3 linked regions of the Pelodiscus sinensis genome follow. The protein of the gene in region 1 binds, or shares a complex with, the protein of each later gene. Links are inferred from orthologs where the notes say so. Each region holds a gene or a part of one and is shown on either strand. Other genes may lie near its edges.

What was found. Proteins that work in one complex are often made in the same cells at the same time.
Region 2: the proteins of TFDP1 (region 1) and RB1 are in contact, whole or in part, in a crystal structure (PDB 2AZE), measured with the Homo sapiens proteins. The link is inferred for Pelodiscus sinensis from reciprocal best matches to the Homo sapiens genes TFDP1 and RB1. Residues at the interface, in NP_009042.1 of Homo sapiens: Gln222, Glu225, Leu226, Gln229, Ile262, Val271, Asp273, Asp288, Asn289, Thr290, Phe291, Glu292, Ile293, His294, Asp295, Glu298, Arg302; in NP_000312.2 of Homo sapiens: Ile835, Ser838, Phe839, Thr841, Ser842, Phe845, Gln846, Ile848, Asn849, Val852, Cys853, Asn854, Ser855, Val858, Leu859, Lys860, Arg861.
Region 3: the proteins of TFDP1 (region 1) and E2F1 are in contact, whole or in part, in a crystal structure (PDB 2AZE), measured with the Homo sapiens proteins. The link is inferred for Pelodiscus sinensis from reciprocal best matches to the Homo sapiens genes TFDP1 and E2F1. Residues at the interface, in NP_009042.1 of Homo sapiens: Glu201, Cys202, Leu205, Glu206, Glu208, Arg209, Arg212, Leu213, Arg215, Ile216, Lys219, Gln220, Gln222, Leu223, Leu226, Ile227, Gln229, Gln230, Phe233, Lys234, Leu236, Val237, Arg239, Asn240, Arg241, Glu244, Pro251, Ser255, Val256, Ile257; in NP_005216.1 of Homo sapiens: Arg202, Leu203, Leu206, Thr207, Asp209, Leu210, Leu213, Gln214, Ser216, Glu217, Leu220, Asp221, Leu223, Met224, Ile226, Cys227, Thr228, Gln230, Leu231, Leu234, Asp239, Ser240, Gln241, Arg242, Leu243, Ala244, Tyr245, Val246, Thr247, Cys248.

The regions. Positions count from the first base shown.
Region 1 is NC_134711.1:237,051,866-237,059,822, forward strand, and holds the start of TFDP1 (transcription factor Dp-1), read right to left. Parts: upstream 3,069-7,957; 5' UTR 2,924-3,068; exon of another isoform or gene 2,786-2,923; intron 2,626-2,785; exon of another isoform or gene 2,483-2,625; intron 2,170-2,482; exon of another isoform or gene 2,146-2,169; intron 1,791-2,145; 5' UTR 1,718-1,790; coding exon 1,706-1,717; intron 1-1,705. UniProt on the Homo sapiens protein: Can stimulate E2F-dependent transcription.
Region 2 is NC_134711.1:288,848,908-288,856,767, reverse strand, and holds the start of RB1 (retinoblastoma-associated protein), read right to left. Parts: upstream 3,048-7,860; 5' UTR 2,850-3,047; coding exon 2,767-2,849; intron 1,802-2,766; coding exon 1,684-1,801; intron 1-1,683. UniProt on the Homo sapiens protein: Tumor suppressor that is a key regulator of the G1/S transition of the cell cycle. The hypophosphorylated form binds transcription regulators of the E2F family, preventing transcription of E2F-responsive genes.
Region 3 is NC_134728.1:34,324,812-34,332,771, forward strand, and holds the start of E2F1 (transcription factor E2F1), read right to left. Parts: upstream 3,048-7,960; 5' UTR 2,854-3,047; coding exon 2,626-2,853; intron 1-2,625. UniProt on the Homo sapiens protein: Transcription activator that binds DNA cooperatively with DP proteins through the E2 recognition site, 5'-TTTC[CG]CGC-3' found in the promoter region of a number of genes whose products are involved in cell cycle regulation or in DNA replication.

The DNA of each region.
Region 1 (7,957 bases):
GTTCTAGTATTCTATGATTCCACTAAAGACAGAAGTTAGGCTTTGAACAGTAATTACCAGGCTCATTCTTCTTTACCTTTTCAAAAACTGAAAGAGCAATCAGTAGTACGCCAGTTATCTGTTGCTAAACCATACACTAAATTTGCAAGTTATCCTGTTCTCTCCTCATTTCCTAATTTTCTAAATTCTCCCACAAACTTTTTTGTAGTTAGCGCAACTTGTCAGAAGCATGACATAAACCCCATGTCCATGACAAACTAAGGATGTTAAGGACTAGTCGCCTATCCGATAAGCATTTACTTAACAGATAGTTTGTCGACTTTCCCCCACCCCCTTTGCTGCCTCTATGAGATAGAGGCAGGGAGGGGGAAGAGGAAGGGGTACTTCAAAGTGGCAATACTGCACAGCTGAGCCGGGGGATCAGCTGTGCTGCACTGCCCCTTTAACTCACTGAAGCTGGAAGTCCCCTGCTGACCCCAGGCTCCACACAGCATTTCCCCAGAACCCGGACTCAGCTGGGGAGTCCCCTGCTGATCCATGGTTCTGCTGAAAGCTACAAAGAACCAGGGTCCTCTGGGGAGCCCCCCTGCTGACCAAGGCTTTGAAATGAACAAGGACCCTCATTGGGGACTCTTGTACATTTCAAAGCAAGCACACCTGTGTGCAGCCAGGAGTCCACTGGCCCCAGGCTGTACCTGGAGTTCCGCATTCCTCCTTTGAAATGTACAAGAGCTCCAGCAGGGTCAATTAACCACATTTTAACATTCCTGTGACAAACATAAAAGTTTCACTGACAAATGTACCCGGGTGGACAATTTTTAAAAATGCTGTGTTTTTCAGAGAACATGCAAAACATTACTATGCAAAAGTTAGAGTACCAGAGTACTTTATTAGCAATGTAACATCTAAATACAGAAGTCTCATGATAGTAAATGAGGACTGTTAATCATAAACTAATCTGTTCACTAACTTAAATACATGCTAGTATTTTTTCTGATGAAGAGGTATTAAAAATGGGAGCTATAAGAATAGATGGCTCAATAAACAGACCCTCTTATTATCACCCACTTCTATGTTAGTGGCTTGAATCGGATAGGTTGAAGCAATTATTTCCTCCCCACATAGTCTAATTGCTACTGACTTTAACTAGGTTCCTTTTGTCTGTTTCAGAAGAAAGGCAAAAATAAGCATAGAGACTGAAAGAACCTCTTATCCTTAAACATGTGATATTTCCTAAACATAGTTTAACAGCAGGTCAACACTGAGTGGCATTTCTAGTGTACCTGTTCTATCAACAAGCAGGTAACTTAATGAAAGGTACTTCACTGACAATGCTCAGATTGAACAATACTTTAATTACCCAGCACAATAGTGAAAACTGCTTTTCACAATCTCTATTACAAGTATGCAAAATGCCTGCATCAAATGCTTTTCAGCAAGATGGTGGCTTTTTGTTTTGTTGCACAGAACAAATGTGCATATTGTGTAAAACGTTAAGCCTTTTTGTAATACAAAAGCTAGTAAGTCTATTCTAAACTTTCTATGTGAAAACAGATACACTGCAAACCCATTTTAAATAAGAGACAAAAAGGAGGTCTTCATTTCCCCTAATGCCAGTTGTGGTATGTATGGCCTGCTCTGTCTTAAGCACATGGAAATATTCTATCACTCATGTTCCCAGATAATACAAAACAAATATACTTACATCTTTTGCCATGTTACCAATGCTTAGAAATCAAGTCTCTTAAATGACTGACACCCACAGAAGGAAACAGGGACTGTGATATTTTCTACAAAGAAAGTCAAGACAACACTAGCTGTAACAGTGAACTGCAAAAGTCCATCATTTATTAACTGCATGCAGACATTCCTCTACTTTAGAGCATGGTCTCGTAATATTTAAAAAGTTTTCTGGCATCAACAACTTACTCTGGGAGAAAGGCCTCACAATCCCCCCAGAGAAAGGACCCTCCCTTCAGCTCGCACCCTAGCCCCAAGGCCTTCCTCATCCCAAACATACACGGAGGAGCCCAGCAGGCGGCCTGGACTGGCAGCCTAAGCCCACAGTGGGTCGGCCACAGTCCAGCTCTTCCCCTTCCCCGCAACACCATCCCACAGGCGAGGCCGGAGGCCCCTATGCCGGACCTGTCAGCTTCCCCACAATACTAGGCCCCTGGGGCCAGTCCCCTGACAGCCCCGGCGGGCGCAGCCAGATGGGCCGCTGGTGCGTGGGGAGGCCGGGGCGCCTCAGAGGCTCTTCACAGATTGGCAGCCCCACCAGCCCCTCACCCGGGGCCCCACCAGCCCGCCCAAGCTAGCGAGTGGGCGCGCGAGGCGCTGGGCTCGGCTGCCACAGGAGAAGCACCATCCCCCAGTATGGGGAACCCCCCCCCCGGGTAAATCCCGCGCCCCCTCCCCACGTCCCGCCCAAACCCATCCCCCGGTGCGGCAGCGCCTCCCACACGCCGAACGGTGCCTGCACCTGAGCGGCCGCCGGCGGAGAGCAGGCTCCCTGCGTCCCCCGCCCGCTCCCACACAGCGCCGCTCTGCGGAGACACGGCGGCGGGAGGGGGGGGGGGGCGCCGACTGCACATGTGCAGCTCGCGGGCCTCCAAACGGGGGGGAGGGTAAGAGAGAAGGCAGGGCTGTCAACGGCGCCAGCCCCCAATCAGGGGATCCCGCCCCTCCCCCCTTGTCAGCCTCACTCTTCTCTGCCCCCCGACTCTCCCTCCCTTCCATCCTCCCTCTTGGGGTCCCTCTGCTGCGCCCCCTGCTCCTTGCACACCTGCGCAGGCTCCCCCCTCCTCGCGGAGGGCTCCCTGTGTGGGGGCGGGGGGGCGCAGCCGCCCCTCCCCAGCTTCAGCACGCGGATGCGGCCCTGGAAAAAAAATTTCCGTTGGCAGAAAAAAAAATTGAAACTTACACTTTTGTACGTCCCACCGGCGTGACGCTGCGCGCTGACGTCATGAGGTGTAACGTGCCTCGCATAGGGCCCACGCGGAGAGATTAGTGGCCCCTCCACACCGTCCCTCCGTGTGGCGCGCATGCGCGGGGATTTCGCGCCCAGGGATTCCCCACCCCTTTTGGAAAAAGAGCGCGCGGGAAGCCTGGGCGCGAGACTTGGCGGTTAGTCAGTCAGAACCAGGCAGCCGTTGCGCTCTGGCACGTGGTGTCACTCGAGGGGGTGGCCTGCGTCAGCGCTGAGCTACTTACCACCCACCTGTCGATGTCAAGCGAGGGGAGAAGGGTACCGTGCCCCGCCTCTGCTGACTAAAGCTGGGCGCTAGCCCATGTCCCCTCCAGCTCTGGCGGGGAGAAGGACTTTGCCTAGGTCCTGGGGCTTCAGGTGGCTTAGCAGGACCTAGCCCTGATTGACCTCGCAGAACATTTTCCTTCTCGCGCCATAATGATTGCAGGGCACAGCACGCTGTCAAAACAAATCCTCAGGGTGTTGGTTTCAGCTGTGGGCTCTGCACCCAGCAACAGCATTTTAGAAACTAGCCCTAACCAACCCCTGAGTAATGCTGATGGTGCGTCCTCATCACTGCCTCGCCATTATCAGGGCTGCAGCACTTACAATGCCCCATTTTAAACATGCCATTTTAAAATAGTTTAATTAGAGGGCAAACTGGCTCCTCTGCAAGTTCTGCTGCTTGCTGCAGAAAAGAGTGAGAAACTGTAATACTCATGACAGCTAAGGCAGAATTGTACTTCATAGTATTTTTTGTAGCATAGAGATAGTTTGTGGTCTTTTAAGATTTTCCTTTTTCATCCCCACTATGCTAGATTTTTAAAATTTAGATGTACTGTGATTGCATCAAGGTCAGGATACACTAAACTGACCTTTGTACTAAATGGAACATTTTTTAAATCCAGAAGAATGAAACAGTAACTGTAGAAAAGTGAGCTTTTACTCAAAACCACTTTCAGAGATGGAAAACTGTTAGGTGAAGACTTTTCTTTGAAAAGTGTTTTCAGATATTTGTGAAAAAGGGAGGCAGCTATTATTGAAGCAGCACGTGATATCTTAAATGGAAAGAGAAAAATATGATACTGATTTTTTTAACTGATTTGCCCCTTACAAAGGAAGAATAGGTAAGGGAAAATGTTTGGAGCCTGGGAAAAGTGACCTAGCTCCAGGGGATTTTAGACCATTCAGTGCAGAAATTGTGGATGGAGCATGAAACAGGTCCTCAAACAGTTCTGGCATGCCATTCTCCTTTTCTCCAAATGTTTGAGTCTGTTCCAGAGATGAAAGTAAGTCGATACACCTTGGGCAACAGCTGGCTGAGCTGTAGCAAAAGCCAGCAGAGAACTGGGTTGCAATAGGATGGTACCTGTACAAAATTTTAAGTTACTTTCACTCTTCTTTTTTTTTCTAATCACAGTCAGCAAAGGATCACCATTTGGAGAATATAATCCTTCATTGCTTTTTTACCAACGCTTATTAATAATACCTTCCAAAGAGTCCAGTCCAGTTGCATAAAGTACTTGTGAGATAATTGGGTTAAGGATTCAAGTGTATTCTGAGGAGATTTGGTACTTGTTTGTCCATTGTGCTTTATGCCTGCTATAGTGTGTAGGTGATTTCCCCCCTGCATTTTCCAGCTCCTGTGTTGGCATGTCAATGACTGCTTTTCTCTATTCAGCATTTCTTTGGCATGTCTGCACCTTATAGAGTTTTTCTTTATGAAACTGAAACCTTACAGGCCATCAGCCAGCTGTCCAGTGGCAAGGCCCCAGGATCTGATGCGATCCCAGCGGAAGTCTATAAGGGTGGTGGTGCAGTGCTTGTCGACAAACTCACTCAGCTGTTCCAGTCCTTCTGGAATCAAGGATCTATTCCTCAGGAACTGAAAGATGCGCCCATCGTACACCTCTACAAGAGGAAAGGAAATAGACAAGTTTGCGATAATCATAGAGGAATATCACTGGTTTCCATCGCAGGTAAGATCCTTGCACGAGTGTTGCTGAATCGTCTGATTGACCACCTGGAACAGGGTTTATTACCCGAGACAGAGTGCGGCTTCCGCAAAGAGTGTGGCATGGTGGATATGATCTTTGCAGCCTGACAGCTCCAAGAGATGTGTCAAGAGCAGAATTGTGAACTGTACACCATCTTCGTGGATCTCACCAAGGCTTTTGACATTGTCAGTCGCGAAGGTCTGTGGCGCATCATATCGTAGTTTGGGTGCTCTGACAGATTCATCTTGATGGTACGTCAGTTCCACGACGGCATGACGGCTCGTGTTCTAGATGATGGAGAAGCTTCAGAGGCCTTTCCCGTCACAAACGGCGTCAAGCAAGGGTGTGTGCTGGCACCGACCCTGTTCAGCATAATGTTTTCAGCCATGCTGTCAGACGCCTTTCAGAACAGTTCCTTGGGAATCAGACTGAGATACAGGACCGATGGGAAACTGTTTAACCTGCGAAGACTCCAGGCTGTCACCAAGATAAAGGAGACTGTGCTACGAGATCTCCTTTTTGCTGACGACTGCGCCCTGAATGCTGGATCAGAGCAGGAAATGCAAGCCAGCATGGACAAATTCGCAGCAGCATGTGACAACTTCGGCCTTCTCATCAACACAAAGAAAACCGAAGTGATGCACCAGCCAGCTCTGAAAGCTCAACATCAAGTGCCCACCATCACAGTGAAGGGACAAAAGCTGCAAGCAGTGGACCAATTTACATATCTTGGCAGCACCCTCTCCCGCACAGTGACAATTGACATCGAGGTCAACTGCAGAGTCGCCAAGGCAAGCTCTGCTTTCGGCAGACTGCTGACCAAAGTGTGGGACCGCCGTGGAATAAGCCTTGCTACAAAGCTTAAAGTCTATCGAGCAGTAGTGTTAACTACCCTGATGTATGCCAGTGAGACTTGGACTGTATACAGGAGGCACGCTAGGCAACTAAACCACTTCCATACGATTTGCCTTCACAGACTTCTGAGGATCCGGTGGCAGGATAAGTTGCCAGACACAGAAGTCCTTTCTAGAGCAGGCCTGCCATCAGTTTACACCCTGCTGATGAAAGCTCAGACACGCTGGGCAGGCCATGTTGCAAGGATGCCAGATCATCGCATCCCTAAACAGCTCTTCTATGGTGAGCTGTTTCAAGGTAAGCGATCGCACGGGGGACAAAAGAAGCGATACAAAGACACGCTTAAAGCCTCTCTCAAGTCCCTGGATATTGACACCACCTCCTGGGAGACCCTGGCACAAGACCGATCAACATGGCACACGCTGATGTACCAAGGCTGTCAAACATCTGAAGCCAGAAGGAGAACCATAGCACAAGAGAAGCGAGCACTCCGTAAAGCCAGAGTTGCAAAAGCTGCAACAGTGGTGCCCACACATGTCTGCCCGACATGTGGCAGAACATTCCGTGCCCGTATCGGCCTTATCAGCCATTTGCGGACACACCATGGACAGTCCGCAACCTGTTAGATGTCAAGGTCCTCTTCGAATACGATGGACGAACAACAACAACAACAGTGTGTAGGTAATTTTCCCCCTGCATTTTCCAGCTCCGGTGTTGGCATGTCAATGACTGCTTTGGCATGTCTGCACCTCACAGAGCTTTTCTTTATTGGGATACACTCTATTTCCTTCAGAGCAGTGGTCACCAACCAGTAGATCAAGATCTACCCGTAGATCTTGGAACCTCTGACAGGTGATCCTGACTGGTTTGGCCAAGAAGATATCAAGCTCTGGCACTTCAGTTATCCCTCCACATACTGTCATGCTCTCCTGCCCCCTGCCTTTCATTTACGTCGGTGGCGTAGGAAGATATCGGCACGTGTACCCATCTGACGTGGTATTTGGGTTCTATAAGCACTTGCCGAGCCATATTGGTCTTAACTACATAAGGGCCAATTTCATGACGGTCAGGCTCTTCAGCTACTAATATTTTCACTGGAAATTTAACCCCGAATAATCCTAACACCGTCCAGGTGTTGGATTCCGTGATGTTTTCTATAAATACTCCAGTACACTCATAACTAGCTGGCTGTGGATCTACTATACAGCTTGGTGATGCAGCAAACTGACTAGTTCTGTGTGGTGATCTATTTGCTGCACAGGTCAATGGCACTGTGGCACGAATTACTCTTGCTGGTGATATAACAGTAGCATCTATTGTAGTCGTAGTAAAATGATCGTGATAAAATTTTATCACCCATACGACTTGTCCTGGCTTCACTATAGGATGATACAGAACGTCCAGATATACGCACGTTGAACCAGTCCACCTAGGAGCTATTATTTTGCAATTGGTCAGACATCGTCTATTATGTATGTCTGATGATGCATGTGCCATGGTTTCATTTATACAGAGATGGGGGTTAACAAATGTCCATAGGCATTTCTTGGATGGAGACGTATCTACTAGCATATTTAACCAACCAGGGACGGTAAAACCATTAGCTTTAGTCTCATCTTTACCCATCGTAAAATATAATAATATATTGCCTTCTATTTCATCTCGAACAAATAGATGGCAAACCCGATGATCTTGCTCTACTCGAATTGTGACCATTTGACTCTTAAAAATGGGAAGCCTAACCTCCCATCGATTAGTATTACCTCTCAAAGGCTTATATGTTTTGGAATTGATCACCTGGCGATTATAAACTAGATCTCGGGATTCACGATGAGTCCAGACATATCTTTTTGGTGTCATCAAATCATATTGTTGTTGTTTCAAAGGTTTAATAGAATATAATAGGACTGGAAGGGACCTCGAGAGGTCATCGAGTCCAGCCCCCCGCCCTCAAGGCAGGATCAAGCTCCGTCTACACCATCCCTGACAGATGTCTATCTAACCTGTTCTTAAATATCTCCAGAGAGGGAGATTCCACCACCTCCCTTGGCAATTTATTCCAATATTTGACCACCCTGACAGTTAGGAATTTTTTCCTAATGTCCAATCTAAACCTCCCCTGCTGCACTTTAAGCCC
Region 2 (7,860 bases), about 52 Mb from region 1:
GCCCCCAAGACTCCACTCTTTCCTTGAAGCCCTGTCCTCTTTGTTCTCCTCCTCTCCATCACTTACTACCCCTGGCCTTTATACTCTCTCAAGGTATGGCTACACTGCCGCCTTTCCCTCCCTCCCTCCCCCCCTTGATTTTTCTGTAGGAAGAGGTTTTCAACATTTGGCCTCTCTAGACTGGGCCAAATGTCAGGAAAAAGACCCTCTTTCAGAAGCCCCCTTATTCCTCTTGGAACAGGGAATATAGGGGTTGCTGAAAGAGCATATTTGCTCTTCGGCTAAAAAAAAGCAGAAGCACAAACATGTTCTGGATGCAGAAGAGTTTTTCTGGGATACCTCTGGTATCTCGGAAAAAAACTCCTGCAGTCTAGCCGTATTCACTGGGTCGAGACAGGAGCTGCAGTCTCTGAGGTGGGAATGAGGGATTTGGGTACGAGAAGGATGGGGAACCTGTTTTGAGTCAGGGGGTCACTGATCCACAGAAAAGTCAGTTGGGGCCACACAAGTGAGATGCAAAAAAAAAAAAAAAAAAAAAAAAACACACACACCACCACACACAAACCTTCTCCAAAACCCCCCAACCTCACTAATGTGGCCCCAACAGTGCTGGTGGGAGCTGAGGACATGGTATTGGGGAAGGATGCTAGAGACGGGGACAGGGTGACAGTGGGGGCTGAAGCAGGGGACAGGGTGCTAAGGCAGGGCACCAGTGGCTGATGGGACAGGTAGCAGGCTGTCAGTGGGTGCTGCAGCAGGGGACAGGGTGTTGGTGGTGGCAGGCAACAAGGAGTCCCTGGCACTCGCCTCCTCCAAGGACCCCTCCCCTTCGCAGGGAAAGCACGTCCCAGCACTCTGCCTCCCTCCAGGGACTCCTACCCCCTCCCTCTTGCAGGGGAAGCTCATCCCAGCACTCGCCTGCTCTAGAGACTTTTACATCCTCCCGCCTCCCCCACCCACTGCAGGGGGAGCTCATTCCAGCATACACCCTCCTCCAGGGACTCCTCCGCCCCCTTAGCCCCCCGCAGGAAGTCCCCAGCATGCCACAGACCTGGGTCTGGTACCGCACTAGCTGTTTGGGGGAGGGGGTGCAGCCAGCACACTTCCTGAAACCCCAGAAGTGGCACGCAGCTGCAGGACTCCTATCCACAATGGAGGTAGCACCGGCTTCCTGCAGGGTCACTGGAGATGGACAGTGGGGCTTCTTGAGGGTGGGGGAAAATGGGGAGGCCCCAAATGCCTCACAATTGATGGGTTAGTGACCACGGCTACAGAGGCAAGGTATATATAGTCTTGTGCAGGCCCTCATCTTCCGCACTTGGAGTGCCAGAGTGGGGAACAGCTATAACATGTGGTCTGGATGTGATTAGTCACATAGTGCTGGTTTAACTACCATTTAGAGTAAGTGTGAACTAAAGGGGTTTTTTTAATTGGCATATTTAGTGAAGGTGAGGTTATGCAAGTTAATCTACACAGATGTGTGTACACAGCAACCTTTGTACTTTTTGACCTTGATATAAACCTGCATCAGAATGATACCACTGTAGCATTTCCATTTTAAAATAACTTGCAATTTTTACCAATTTGCTTCTTGGCTAAGGCAACATGTTAGGCTAAGCACGGATCCAGAGCTCAGTATTTTAAATCAAGTCACTGTAAGCATTAACTCTACCAAGTACTCACTAAAGTTCCATCAGTAGGGGACATTTTTTCATACATCTTCCAAGCATTTGTTCTCACAATGTCTGATACTCTTAGTGTGTCACACAGTGCAATAAAGCCAGTTTCTCCAAACTCAAGCCTAAAAGAGAGTGAAATGGATGATTAACTATCAGGTTCATTTAAATGAAAATGTATCACATATGATTATAAAGTATAAAACATTAGCTAGAATGTGACATTTCTCTGGAGAAAACCCATCTTACTGAGCATCTGCATCCACATCTGATCCACAAACGTCAATGGCTATAAAGGAGATATTCAGTTGTACAGGTCTCTACTTATGACCCCAAGAACCAGGAATGGATTGAAGGAAGGTCAGTGACTAGCAGGGAACCAAAGAAATTGGTTTTACACTGGAATTTCTAATCTAAAACTCATACAATCCTGAAATGCTGAATGCATGCACATCGGATGTCATCTATCTGTAGCAGATAAAGCAGCACATTTTTGTCCTTTAAAGGTGAGCCCACTAGAGCAGACCTTGGAAAGCTTGGGAGCCAAAGAGCTGGAAGCAATCAGGAACCCAGGCAGGACCCTGCATTACCTTTCACATTTCTACTGCCTGAATCTTAACAGGCCAATCCTACGGTTCCATCAGCATAAAATGCTTAACCTCTGCTCGAGCCTCTCGTCAGTCAGAGCCAGGTCTTCGCTGTTACATCTCACACCGCGGTGAGTGTGCAGTTGGCCACAGCTGACAGGCCCCAGCACCAGCGAGGCTAAGGGAGCCTTTCGCCCAGCGGGCACCGCCGATTGGGCGGACACCAACGGGCTGTTTTTCCGGCCAAAGCAACCTCTGCCCACGCGAGCACCAGGGACCTACGGACCCGTCTTCAGCAGCGCCCAGTACCGTACCAGCCATCCCCCCCCAAGCCGGGCAGGCAGCCTCCCAGCCACCCCGCACAGGGATGCGCAACCAAGCGGCGAGGGCTTCCGCGTTCGCCAGAGCAGAGCTGCCCTCACCCGGGACGCTCCCGGAGCAGCAGAAAAGCGGTGCCGCGGGGGCTAGAGCCCGGGCTGGAGGAAGCGGCTGGCGACTCTCACCTGGCGGCAGCGGCAGGCGGAGGTGGCGGGGTACTGCCTCCCTTGGCGGCGGCTCCCCCCTTCCGGGGGGGCTTGGGCGGCATGTCGGTCGGGCGCGCGCAAGGGCGCGCGGAGCCGCAACTGTTGGGTCCGAAGTTTAAACGTGCACCGCAGAGGGGAGACGAGAAACGGACAAACCGGCTCCCAACAGCGACCACTCAAACCGCGGGAAAACACGTCACGTCCGCCCCGCCCACCGGGCGGAGCGTACGCGTCACTTCCCAGCCCACAACTCGCTTCAGAGAGGGGTGAAAGGGACAGGGAGCGTATTCAAAGGGGGTGGAGCCTGCGCACAGAATGAGGCTAAGAACCCGGAAGAGAAACTCGGAGTCTTGGCAACGGAGGCTTGAGCGCAAGCCCTTCGGCCAATCAAGTCACCCACTTCCCTTAGCCAATAGAAGAGCTGATGACTGTCGGGGCGGGGGCTCTCCCGGCTGCTGTTGCTGGTGGTGCCGAAGGGGCGGGGCTCAGCGGACCTGGTTTGTTGTTGTCAACAGTTTATTTTGCCAGTTACGTTCCTAGAAGCTATAGACGGTTCAGCTCCGTCTGCCTGGGAGCGGGGGCGAGCGGGAAGGGAGGGAGGAGCCAAGTGGCGTTGTAACCCACGCACCTGTGGGCTGAGCTGTCCTGTCCGACCACTTACAGGGAGAATTAGTTTGCTCTGCAGCCTTCCTGTAGGGTTGCCAGGTGTCCGGTTTTGAACGGGAGAGTCCAGTATTTGGGCCGTCTGTTTAAAAAACAAATTCAGAAAATATGAAAGTCTGGGGCTGGGTCTACACTGGTGCGATCTCGCACAAAAACTTGCTGCCTGTCTACACTGGCCGTGTGATCGCAAGTAAACTGATGGTCTAATGTAGGAAATCAGGGCTTCTTGCGCCAGAACTCTGACACTCCCGCTGGGGAAGAAGCCCTTTTGCGCAGCTGTTCTTGCACAAGAGGCCGGTGTAGACAGGCAACATGAATGTCTTGCGCAAGAAAGCCCTATGGTTAAAATGGCCATCAGAGCTTTCTTGCACAATAGAGCGTCTACACTGGCATGGATGCTCTTGCGCAAAAGCACATGGCAGTGTAGACTCTCTCTTCTGGAAGAGTTCTTGCGCAAGAAGCTCCCAGTGTAGACATAGTTTCTAAATAAGATGTAATGTTAATTTTGATGTAATTTCAAGTGTGTCTGGTATTTTTGTGGAAACCATCTGGCAACCCTACCTGAGAGCCAGCTGGGTTTTAGCTCACGCAGTAGAGAAGGGGTGGGGAACCTTTTTTGGGGTCAGGGGCTGCTGACCCAAAGGAAAAAAATCAGAGGGTGGGCACACACAAAAAGAAAACAAAAAGGGGCAAACTCTCATTGACTGGTCCCCAAACTGAGAAGAAGAAAGACACTCCCCACGTTCCCCTCACACACCAGAGCCTAGGGAGGCCCAGGTGAGTAGATTTTGTATGCTCCAGCTCCACTGTGGGGCAGCAGAGAGGCTGGAGTGCCACAATGGACTCCCCAATGCTGGGGGAGCTATGAGTCTCAAAGGCCCGATCCAGGCAAGCCATGGTCTGCATCCCACCCTTGGGCCTTAGATTCCCCAGCTCTGCACTAGAAGCTCATGCGCTAAACTACAGCAATCCCCGGTTTGGTTCCGCCTGTCCAGGTTACAGAGTTACACACACATGGAGGTGCCTGGAGTTTGAAACTCCAGAGGTTAGTGAACACTTGGGAGAAGTGATGTCTTTGATCAAAGTTCAAGACCAAGAGCTCTTCAAGTGAGGCATAGGTAGAGGTCACAGTACACTCTGCTGGGAGCCTAAAAAGTCCTCTAGCAGTAGCAGATCCAGAGGAGACCAATTTTTACATTCATGTTATTTTTAAAGTAAACAAGCAGAGGGGAAAAGAAACAAATATATTTATAAGGCACCCAGGTACCTTTGTGAATTTCCATGTCCTCCTATTCCTTGCCCTTGCTCTGCACTGCCTTTTCCCCCAACTAATGCAACCCAGGGGACAAGCAGGGCCAGGGTGCTGGCAGCTGGTGTCCAGCCCCCCCCCCACACACACCCCCAGTGGCTGGGAGTGGGGGGAGTGAAGCAACACTATCCCGGCTTGTTCTGCTGTCCCAGCATGTTGCTTGGAGAAGGGGCGGCATACCCTCACTTTCAGCAGTGGGAAGCAGAGCAAGCTAAAGCTGCATAACTCCGCTTCCCTGCCCCCACCACTGCTGGTGAATGCAGGGGGATTGGATCCCTGCTACTGGCATCATGCCCTCCCCTGCTAACTCCCCTGGATGCCCAGAGACTGGGCCCCAGGACCATCCCACCCCTTGTGTGAGGTGTACGTGCCCTCTCCTGGTTCCCTGAACGATACCCCTGTCTGAGGCAGACACCTGAAAAATTTCAACCTGAACAAGTAAGGTTTAGTAACATTAACAGCAACTGAAAATTGGGTCTTACAAGGAAGTTCTTAGGCAACCTTAACTGTGGGTAGTGCTACCAGCTCCATCTAGAATGTGTTCAAGTAACTTCAGTATTAAAGAAAATTCTAACTGCACATAAAGGACTAGATTCTGTAAACCATCCTTCAAACAGTGCAGGATGGTAGGTTGTTTTTTTTTTAAAATGTATGCAAAGGTTGGTTTTAACCCAACCTTGTTCTCGCTCTGTAGGTATGGCTGCTGTATGCTGGCCTGGAGCCACACTATCAATTAAGGGATAAAGGTCTGTGTTGTAGAGCTAAAGATTCCAGTCCAGCTGATGATCTATAGGGGGAGCTGGTATGATTTCATATAAAAGAATGTTTTTTATTTTAGTTTCTTCTTTAAAAGATCTAGGAAATTACATATACACACGCACATTAAAATAATGTTAATCTTGTATCTTGGGTATTGCTAAAGCAGGGTTCCTGTTGAAAACAGGGGTACCTGATCACATAATTAAAGGATTGTTTCATAATGCATATGCAGAAGGGGGCCAAATCAAATTGCATGGGCAGCTTTAATTCTACAGTTGACTTCCAATAATCCGGCACCTTTGGGATTTAGGTGGTGCCAGATTATCGGATATGCCGGAGTATCAGGAGGTACTGCATACTCCCAACCCAATCTCCCTACCTCCCCTCCCCCCCCAAATCATCTGGCTGGGACACCATGAGTAACCCGATCCTCCTCCCCTTAGCAGAACACTTCTGCTCCCTGCTATAACCCGATCCCACTCCCCCACCCCAACCTTACGATTGGTCAGATACAGCCAGCACATGTGCTAAGGGGCCAGCTTTTCCAGAAGCTGGCCAGGATGCCATAAGTAATCCAATTCCCCTCCCCTTCTTCTTAGAAAAACACTTCAGCTCCCTGCTGTGACCCAGGTAAGAGCAGCTGACCTGAGCAGTTCCGGTTCCATCAGAAGCGCTTGCCATTTTGATGCCGGACTATCGGGAGTGCTGGACAATCGGGTGCCTGACTATTGGAGTTTTACTGTATTATTTCTTAACTGTCCAATGCTTGCTTTTGTAATTTTAACTGAGTTTTTTTTAGTCCATATAAATATATATAGTACATGAGAAATTAATTAGTGATACACTTCTGCATTTTAGTTACCAGATTTAAACCTAGGCTGAAGGAGGGACAGATGACCATATGGCTAAACACTGGATTAGATCTCAAATAGCTGGGATACATTGTTGTCTCTGCCAAAGGCTTTCTGTGAGACACAGAGAAAGTCATTTAATTTCCCCTGCTTCAGTTCTCCATTTATAAAATCAGATAATATTTTCTCCCAACACTTTTCTCTGTCTAATTTAGGTAATGATATGTTCTAGAAAGCACTGACTCTTAATATGTTTATGAAACAATGCACTATGAGGATCCAATCTTAGTTAGGACCTGTAGATACTACCATAATACAGTTAATAAGTATTGAAATTGGTGAGTTAAAGGACAGATTTAATTGAATACTCTTTGAATGTCTTCTTTAGATAACTGAATTAATAGATTTTTAAGACCAGAAGAAATGATTGTGATCATCTAGTCTGACCTCTCTTATAAGTCATCCCCAAAATAATTCCTATTACCGTATATATCTTATGTAAACATTGTTGAGCAATCTCCATCACTGACAATACTTGGTACATTTTTCCAGTGTTAAAAATGTACACCTTATTTCCAGGTTGGCTGGAAGTTGAAACTAAAAAAATTCATTCATAAGAAGTGGGTACAAGAAGCAGGGGAAGGCATTGCCGTCCAAGACTGAGGCATGGCCCTGCCCACACTTGGCCTCCACAGCACCCCTGCTTCATTGCTGCTCTGGAGCTGCCCCCAGCTCCAGCCACGCAGAAGCTGTGATTGCATGCCACCTGTCTTCCCCCTGCTCTAGGACCAGGGGAGGGTTCACATGGCGGGCTGGAGGCCTGCCCTGTGGTGGGGCGAGGGCTTGACTGCTATTGGGTAGAGGGCTTGAGCAAAAGAAGCAAGGCTGGAGGCTTGACTCTCCAACCCAAGGTTCACTTACTACCCATGCAGCCATTGGCTTGTGTTAAACATTCTCCACTATACTCAGGAGCCCATTATTAAATATTTGTTCTCCATGTCAATACTTATCAATAGTAATCAAATTATCCCTTAACCTACTCTTTGCTAAGATAATCAAATTTAACTCTGAGTCTGTCACTATCAGCATGTTTTCTAATCCTTTAACTTGTTCTTCAGGCTCTTGTTCAGACCTTCTCCAGTTTTTTAGCATCATTGAATTGTTGCTACCAGAACCAGATTCAGAATGGTACAGTTATTCCAGCAACGGTACACCAGTGCCAAATACAGACACAAAATAACCTCTCCACTCCTATTTGAGATTCCCTTGTTTATGCATTCTACAATCACAATTAGCTCTTTTGTTCAGAGCATCACCCTGGGACCTCACATGCAGCTGAGTGCATTCGTTGTTCCTAGATTTATACATTTAGCCATATTAAAACCCATATTGTGTGCTTGCACACAGTTTACCATGTGTTTCAGATTGGTTTGTCTGTTAACCCAAAAATAGAGGGAGTGGTAATCTACAAACTATACCAGTGATGATTTT
Region 3 (7,960 bases), on another chromosome or scaffold:
AAGCAGATGTGCTCCAGAAGAGGAGAAACCAAAACAGGGATGGGAGACTTCACCCACTTGCTTCACACAAGCAGCACTCGTAAGAACGAGCCGTCACAATGCCGCTCACATGCTCACAAAGATCCAAGCTACGCACCAACCGGCGATCAGAACCTTCCAGGATAACCCCAAGTGGAGTGCCTGACTTGATCACCCATTGGTGCCAGCTCAGACCAGCATTCCAGCTATCTGCCTGGGACCACAGGGACAAGAGAACTTCAAGACTTTGTGCATGGTTACTACCCTGCCTCTAGTACAAGAGGATCTGGCTCATGAAGGAGACATTTGGGAAGGAGGCGGAGACTCGGTCATTGGGGCCTATTTTATTACTAGAAGGAAACCGTCTGACAGCACAGAAACAGATGAATTCGAGACCTCCCTCCCGCCCGCCCCAAGGCCCAGTGACATGTATCTGGAGGGAAGTATCTCACCTTGAGTGATCGTGGAGCAAGTGAGCTATTGCTCACACTGCCCTAGACAGCTGACCATCAGCTATCTAAATTCCAGTGCACTGCTGAAAAGCACCCAGGGGACCTCAGAACAATAATTCTGCCCCCTTTCTTTGCTCATGCACACTAGGGTGTTTAGAGTTTCACTGCCCACAAACATCAGGCTGCAGCCCTGCCAGAGGTGCAGGTGCAGAGCTGCCCATGGGTACCAGGCTGCTGATTACAGTTAGGAGAAAAGCAGCTCAGGTTTCAGGGTTTCACCAGCAAAGCGTCTCCATGAAACCGCACTCCAACCATGCAAACCAGCAGCGCCTCCAGCACAACCACCCACTCCCCACAAGCAGGGAGACAGCAAACAGGGAATTTTGGCTCATTATGGATTCTTGAGCCAAACAATTAAAACAAAGGATCAGCTGTAAAGCTGCCGCCGGCCCCTCAAACTCCAAGCCTCTGGAAGATGGTATGTTTAACTATCAAAGCATGTTGTGGTCTTTTCCTCCTCCCCCCACCCACTTTCGACTGAACTAAAAGCTTGGGGATGTTATACTGGGACAATGGCCCATTATGCCCAGGATCCATTCACTGACCATGGCCAATGCCAAATGATGGCTCAAAATAATCTCCAAGTGCACAAGAAGGATCCCATACAGTGTTCTGTTTGTGCCATGATGAAGGAGAAATGCAAGCCCTTGTCACTTCGCTTCAGTCTAATTGCCGGTGGTAGTTATTTACGTATTTATCCAGCCTTTGCCAGAGGCTGGAGATGGATGACAGGGGAGGGATCACGTGATGATTACCTGTTTCTCTTCACTCCCTCTAGGGTACCTGGCACTGGCCACTGTCGGAAGGCAGAGTACCGGGCTAGATGGATCTTTGGTCTGACCCGTGCGTATGTGTCGAAAACAAATTCGGGAAACCAAAAGAAAGGAAGGCTCCGGTTCAGCCTTGCCTTGTGGGACCCTGATTTTGCACCAAGAACTACAAGGGCAGATTCTTGCCAGGAGCCCCACTGAACACAATGGGTGTCTGCATGGATGCAAAGGTCAGCCCTCCATACTTCACAGCAGTCAGTATTTGTTATACTACAATAGCATCCAGAGGTGCCAATCACAATGAAAGCCCTCTCATGCAGATGCACTAGAAGACAACACCTGCTCCAGAGTTTATCCTAACAATTATTTAGAAGTTACAAGTAGGGCCCTGGAAATCCATAGATACCCACTTTATACCCACAGGTATTTGCATCCGTGGATGTGAATGCTGATGTCCACGGCCCATTCTTGAAGATTCCGTATCTAGAATCTTGCAAATTTACAGATAGCTGTGGATGTGGATGCAGATAACCTCAGCATATTTTTGCATCTATAGATGCAGATACAAAATTTTGTATCTGCGCAGGGCTCTAGTTACATGCCTGAGCATGTATACACACGCCCTCCCATCGCGGACAAGCAGAATTTCACAAGACTAACTTTATCCTGCAGATTGCTGCCACAGTCATTAAAGTATCATCACAACACACTGAGACCTGAGAATAATCTGAGAAGTGTGTCTAGAGACACAATCCACACAGTGGATTTGGCTCTGAAGTACAATTTTCAGACATTGTGATGACTGGTGTATGTCTCCCCCTCTATTATTAATGTATTTGCATATTTTATGCCCAATCCCCATTCCTCTCCACTGAAGCAGGGCAGGTCACTCCTGTGTGTGATGCGAGAGCGGAGATCTCAAAGCCAGAATTCACAGGTCCCCTATGAGCCCATGTCTCCTGGTGAAGAGCTGGGAGCAGAAATGCTGAGCCAGGAAGGCAGAGAGCTCTGCTCTGCACACGCTAATGGCAGCCTGGCTCTCGCCAGGCCTGGCTCGCACATTACTACCGGTTCCTCCCTCGCTTGGGAGCTTTATCGCGGGAAGCCGGAAGCCGGAGAGCTGCAGCCACCGCACGGGCAGCTCCCAGCCTTATCTGGCACCAGACAGGGCTGCCCCCCCCGGCTACAGGTGGCCCGTCAGCGAGCCCAGGGCGCGGGACGCTCGTGAGGCTGGAGCCCATGACCCCGGGGGGGGGGGCGACTCCCTCTCCCCCCTCGTCCCCCCCGCAGCGAGGCGGGAGCGCCCCGCGGCCGAGCGGCGTTACCGGAGGGCGCCCCAGCGCGGGCCGCTGCGCCGCCGGGCCCGGGCGGGGGGGCTGCGGGGTGGCGAAGAGCAGCAGCTCGGCCTCGCGCTCCGCTTCGGGCGGGGGCGGCGCGTCCGGCGTGGAGATGATCACGATCTGCTGCTCCATCGCGTGCAGGGCCCCGGCGCCCCCCAGCAGCGCCGCCAGCTCGGACACGCGGGCGCCGCCGCCCGGCCCCTCCCGAGACATGGCGGGGCGCTCACCGGCCCGGCGCCGGCCCGGGGGGGCCTGGCCCGGGGCCGCGCCCCATGCTCGGGGGGGCCGGGCCGCGCTCCGCAGCCTCCGCCCCTGCCCGGGGCCGCCGCTCGCCGCTCGGTGGCTCGGCCCGGCCCGGCTATTGTCCCCGCCGCTGCCGGCCCCGCGCGCCTTTGCGCGCCAAATCCTTTTTGCCGCGAAAGCCGCCGGAGCGCCGCGTCCGCGCTCCCATTGGCTGCGTCCGCCACACGCCGGCGGGGAGCGGCCTCGCCATTGGCCGCCGCGCCGGGCGGGGGGCGCCGCTCCGCCTTGCCATTGGCTACGGCCCGGACGGCCGCGAGGCGCCGCGGTGACGAGCCCAGCGTTCTGACAGCCGGCCAATCGCAGCGGCTGCGCCGGCGGGGGGGCGGCCAATCAGCGCGCAGCTGGGGGACGCCGCGGCCAGGGCAGGTGCGGGGGCTGGTCGCCTCGCCCGTCTCCCATCTGTTCCCACGGCGCGGCCGCCCCGCCCCTTCCCGCGGGCACAGCGGTTGCCAGGTGTCCGGCGCGCGGCCGGGGACAGACAATAGAACGCTCCGGTGTGTTCCAACTCAGAGGGGATGTCGATTGTGACGTCATGGCACGTGTGCCCCGTGTGCTTGTTGAAACCATCTGGCAGCCCCCGCCCCGCCCCGCCGCTCTGCTCGCTGGGTCCCCGGCACCAGGCCCGGCAGACTCTGCTCCCCTCACTCCCGCTGTTTGGGGAGGGGGTGTCCGCGGACAGAAACACCCTGCCCGGCTTGCAGGGGGCAGACACCCTTCTCCTTTCCCCTTCCTTGTAGGGGGCCCGGATCTGAACCAGGACACTCCTGAGAGGGAGCGGATCTGGATCAGTACCTGCCCCCTCGGGAGGTATCCATGAGTAATAGCTACATAGTACAACTATATAACACTGTATGTAACACATGGATACCTCCCGAGGGGGTAGGTACTGATCCAGATCCGCTCCCTCTCAGGGGAGTCCTCGTTCTCAAAGTTCAATTTGCTATTCTTGCCCCCACATTTCACACCCACTCTCCAAGTTCCGAACTCTAATTACATTCTACACAGTGTGTTCTTCAGGCTTCGGCTAGATTAGGTTAGAGGTCTCCACTCAGGGATGGTATGCCAGCAATTTAGCTATAATCTCCATGAAAGTCTGTTCAATAATAGAAACTGAGGGTAAAAAAATACAGAACTTCAAAAATATGTGTGGGCACATAGGGATACATCTGCCCCCCCCCCCCCACATACCTGTGGACAAGGAGCAGCATTACAGGTGCATGGATAGAACTGGTTGCAAGTCACATGCTTTTCAAAGTTTTTCATTATACCTCTATTGCTTTTCAGTAATTCGGTTTAGCAGAGGGTTGAGTTTTTAATTGTAATAAAAATCAATCTACCTCAGAATCAGTTTCTTCCTTTGATATCTGGGCTGAGGCCAACCTTCCAGGCCTTGTCCACCCTTGGGAGAAACTGGAGAGCTAGATGATAAAACTTCCTGCCCCCCTATCTACCTTGTAGCTCTCACCACTGCTGCCAATAGTAGAGCTGCAGCAGCTGTGAAGGCTGGATCTGAAACTTGACCGTGCTAATGCTACTAGGGGCTCTCCATAAAGCTGCCTTTTGGGGCAGACTGTAAAAATCTTTGAAAGGAAAGCCACCCAAACCCGAGCCTGTTTGATCAATACATCTGGCTTCAGGACAGGGCTGAAGAGGAATTGCTCAGTGTTGGCTGCCAGTATGCTGGATTCCCCTCCGGGACAGACCATGTTGCCCATACACTCTTGTGGCTCTGGTGGATGGTTTCCTCCTGTCCATAGACAAAGGATTATCTCCATCTTCGGCCTGCTGGAATTTGATGCTGACCAAACACTTCTGCAGCTCACTCCAAGAAGCTGTAGGATTGCATGGCAATGCCACGACACAGCTCATGATCTTCCCACAGAACAAACCCAGTGTGGCACAAGCAGCTGCTTCTCCACTTCCAAAGCCTTCAGTGCCACTTTATCGTATGCCAGCAACCCACAGATGATACCCATCTCTGCCTCTCACATCGAACAGCACCATCTTGCAACTTCCCCACTGCCTAGCCAAGGTCGGCTCCTGGATAGAGAGACTGGCTAGTGCTGACCCCAGGCAGGATGGAAATCATGTTGGTAGGACATGCAGAGTGCTTTGAAGAATTTAACTCCTCTAACATCTCCCTTTAAAACATGATCACCTGCCCTCCGATTACATCTGCCTTCAGCCACTGGGGCCTTTCAGACTTCACAGTACTACTGGATGTCAAAGTGGCTTGGTGGCAAAACTTGCTTCCCTCTGTGCCTAGTCACAAAACAATGCCACACCATACGGCATTGGTCACCAGCCAGTCAATCAAGATCTACCAGTAGATCTTGGAGCCTCTGACAGGGGATCCTGACTGGTTTGGCTGGGAGGCTGTCAAGTGCCTGCATGTCAGCTGCTCCTCCTCTCACTGCCCTGCTGCTCCTGCCAAGAGCCTCGGAGCCACTCCCTAGGAGTCTACTTGTTGTGCAGGGTGGGGGAGACAGAGGCAGGGGGCACTTATGTTACTCCGCCCCCCTCTCCTGTACCCCATCTTCACAGAGTGAAGAGGACGAGGCCTCAGAGAAGGGGCAGGGCAGGGCTATTTGGGTTTGAGGTAGATCCTGTACTGACAAATTCAAAAAGTGATCTTGTGCTTAAAAAGGTTGGAGACCACTGCCCTGTGGGATACAAACTTGCAAGGCCAGGTTAACCATTAGGCTGATAAGGCTATAGCGTTAGGCCCTCCAGGCCACACAGGGGGCAGGGCCAGGGCAGGAGAGAGAGGTGGAGTAAGTTTGCTCAGGTAGTCCTGCTGGAGCCTGGGAGCACTCCTGCCAGCAGGAAAAGTAAAGCAGCACCTGGAGCTTAGCAGGAGCTCAGCCGGCTGCTGGCAACGGTCCCTTGCTTCCCGGGTTCCCTGGAGGCTCTGTCTGTCCCCATGCTGCTGCAGGACAGGTTAACAGTGGTAAACGGAGATTAAAAACGTGGTCTGGTTACTATGGGAACCTGTGCCTGCTGTGGGTGTAGTTTGAGCAGGCACTGTCTCTCCCCTCCCTGTTTCCCCATCTTCCATTTCTCCAGAGCTCTGCTGGGCTGTTGGGGGGGAGCAGGAGGGAAGAAGAGAGGGCAAGACTACCCAGTTTAGGCCTGTGTCCCTCCCCGCTGAGACTGGCAGGCAAGTACAGCTTCAGGACGCTCTCTCCTGGTCCTAGTGCTAGCTCCATTTCTGGGCAACTGGTGAGTGCCTAGAGGTGGCAGGTGGGGAGGAGCAGGGCACAAGGAAAAGGCAGTACCAATGCAGTGGGAATCTTGCACAGAATCTATAGACACTCCATCCAGCTCCAACCTGAACTATGGCCCCTGCCCTCATCCCATGTATAATGAACGAATTCCCACCCACTGAGAAAAACCAACCCTCCCACTCTGGATACCAGCGCTCTGACTTTTACAGCAGCCTTTCACCAAGGAGTTTCAGATTTATGATGCACTGTTTTCAATACTGTATTGAACTGTGCTAAAAAAATAATCCAATTGTTTTTCTTTGATGTATGTTTTCTGTACTGGCATGCACAGGAAATCCAATTCTTCCCTTTTGCTCTGCCTAGTTCCACAGGGGAACACAACTTTTGCTGTTAAGGGGGTTGCAAAATCCTTGGAGAAAGCTCAACACACAATGTTTCTCTCAGGGATTTTAAATTCACTTCGTAGCCGGCTGTGATATGTGGGCATTTTCACATCAAAAGCTATTAATGGGACACATCCAGCCCACTTAGTTAGCCTCATTAACACGGGTCCTACAAGTTACAGATACTTCTTCTGCTGTAATATATACTTCTTGGTTTCTGCTATTTCCACTCCAATTCATTGGATGAAGTGGGTTTTGCCCACAAAAGCTCAGGATTCTGTATATTTTGATTAGTCCCCAGGTGCCACAGGACCTCTCACTATTTTTTTCAATTTGTAATTCATACTTAGGCCCTTCGCTCCCCTTAATCTTAGGCCCCTCACAACCTGAATCTTACCCTGCAAACGTGGCCATAGAGCCACATGATCCTGACCTCCAGGCTCAGTAACTGCAACTCATCATATCTAGGAATGAACTGGCAGAGCCAGGGATAGCTTCAGCTTTCAGAAAATGCAGCAACATGGGCCCGTAGATGTCAGAACTCCCCAATGGTCTATTCTCTGCACTGGCTGCCCCATGAACAGTCTGTGCTCTGATATTCCAAGCCCTCCATGAGACTGGCCCTACCTACCAGAGAGGCACCTCTCCCTTTATGATCAGCCTGTTCTTCAACAGCTGCAGGGCACTGGTAAGCAAGAAGTGGAAGCTTATGAGTGAAGGGGCCAGGACATTGACAGGAGCTGGACTGGGAACTTCATGCCCTGGGCCTCACCGCTTTCAGGACTAAATGTGATCTTTCCTGGGCGGTGATGATTCCTTAATAAGCCTTCCACACATTGACAAGCCTACCCATTAGTCAAGCTGCTTCTGCAGGCCAAGAAGGAAGGAAGACAATAAGGAAGGAGATTACTTCTATTTAAATCCTTGGGAGATGTTTATATACTCTAGTGTTGAAGGCCAAACTGAAGACTAAGAAAACCTCTCTCAGCATGAGGTCTGCTAAGCAGTGGAATCAGGTCTCTGAGGAGGAGGTAGCAGAAGTCCTGTCACTGGAGTGACTGAAAGCAGCTTGGACAAATCACCACAGCGTACACTGTTATACAGACAGTAACAATCCTGCTCTGGGGCGAGATGGTTTAATACGCCTCTCTGGGCTGTTAATTCTGTGCCCAGGAGGAAGGGAATGGACCTCACTGGAGAACCTGGGTCCTTTTACTTTGATCTATTCCAGATCTTGTTTGTTGTTAAACAGAATCTGCAATATTGTTCCTGGCTGTTGTCCCCCTGTACGTGAAAAGATCATTTTCTTTTTTGAACTGAGAGCTACAGAAAGATCAGCACTTGCCTGTACATTTTAAATTCAGTTTTCAGGCAAATTATAGGGCAACAATGAACAAAGGGAGGTAC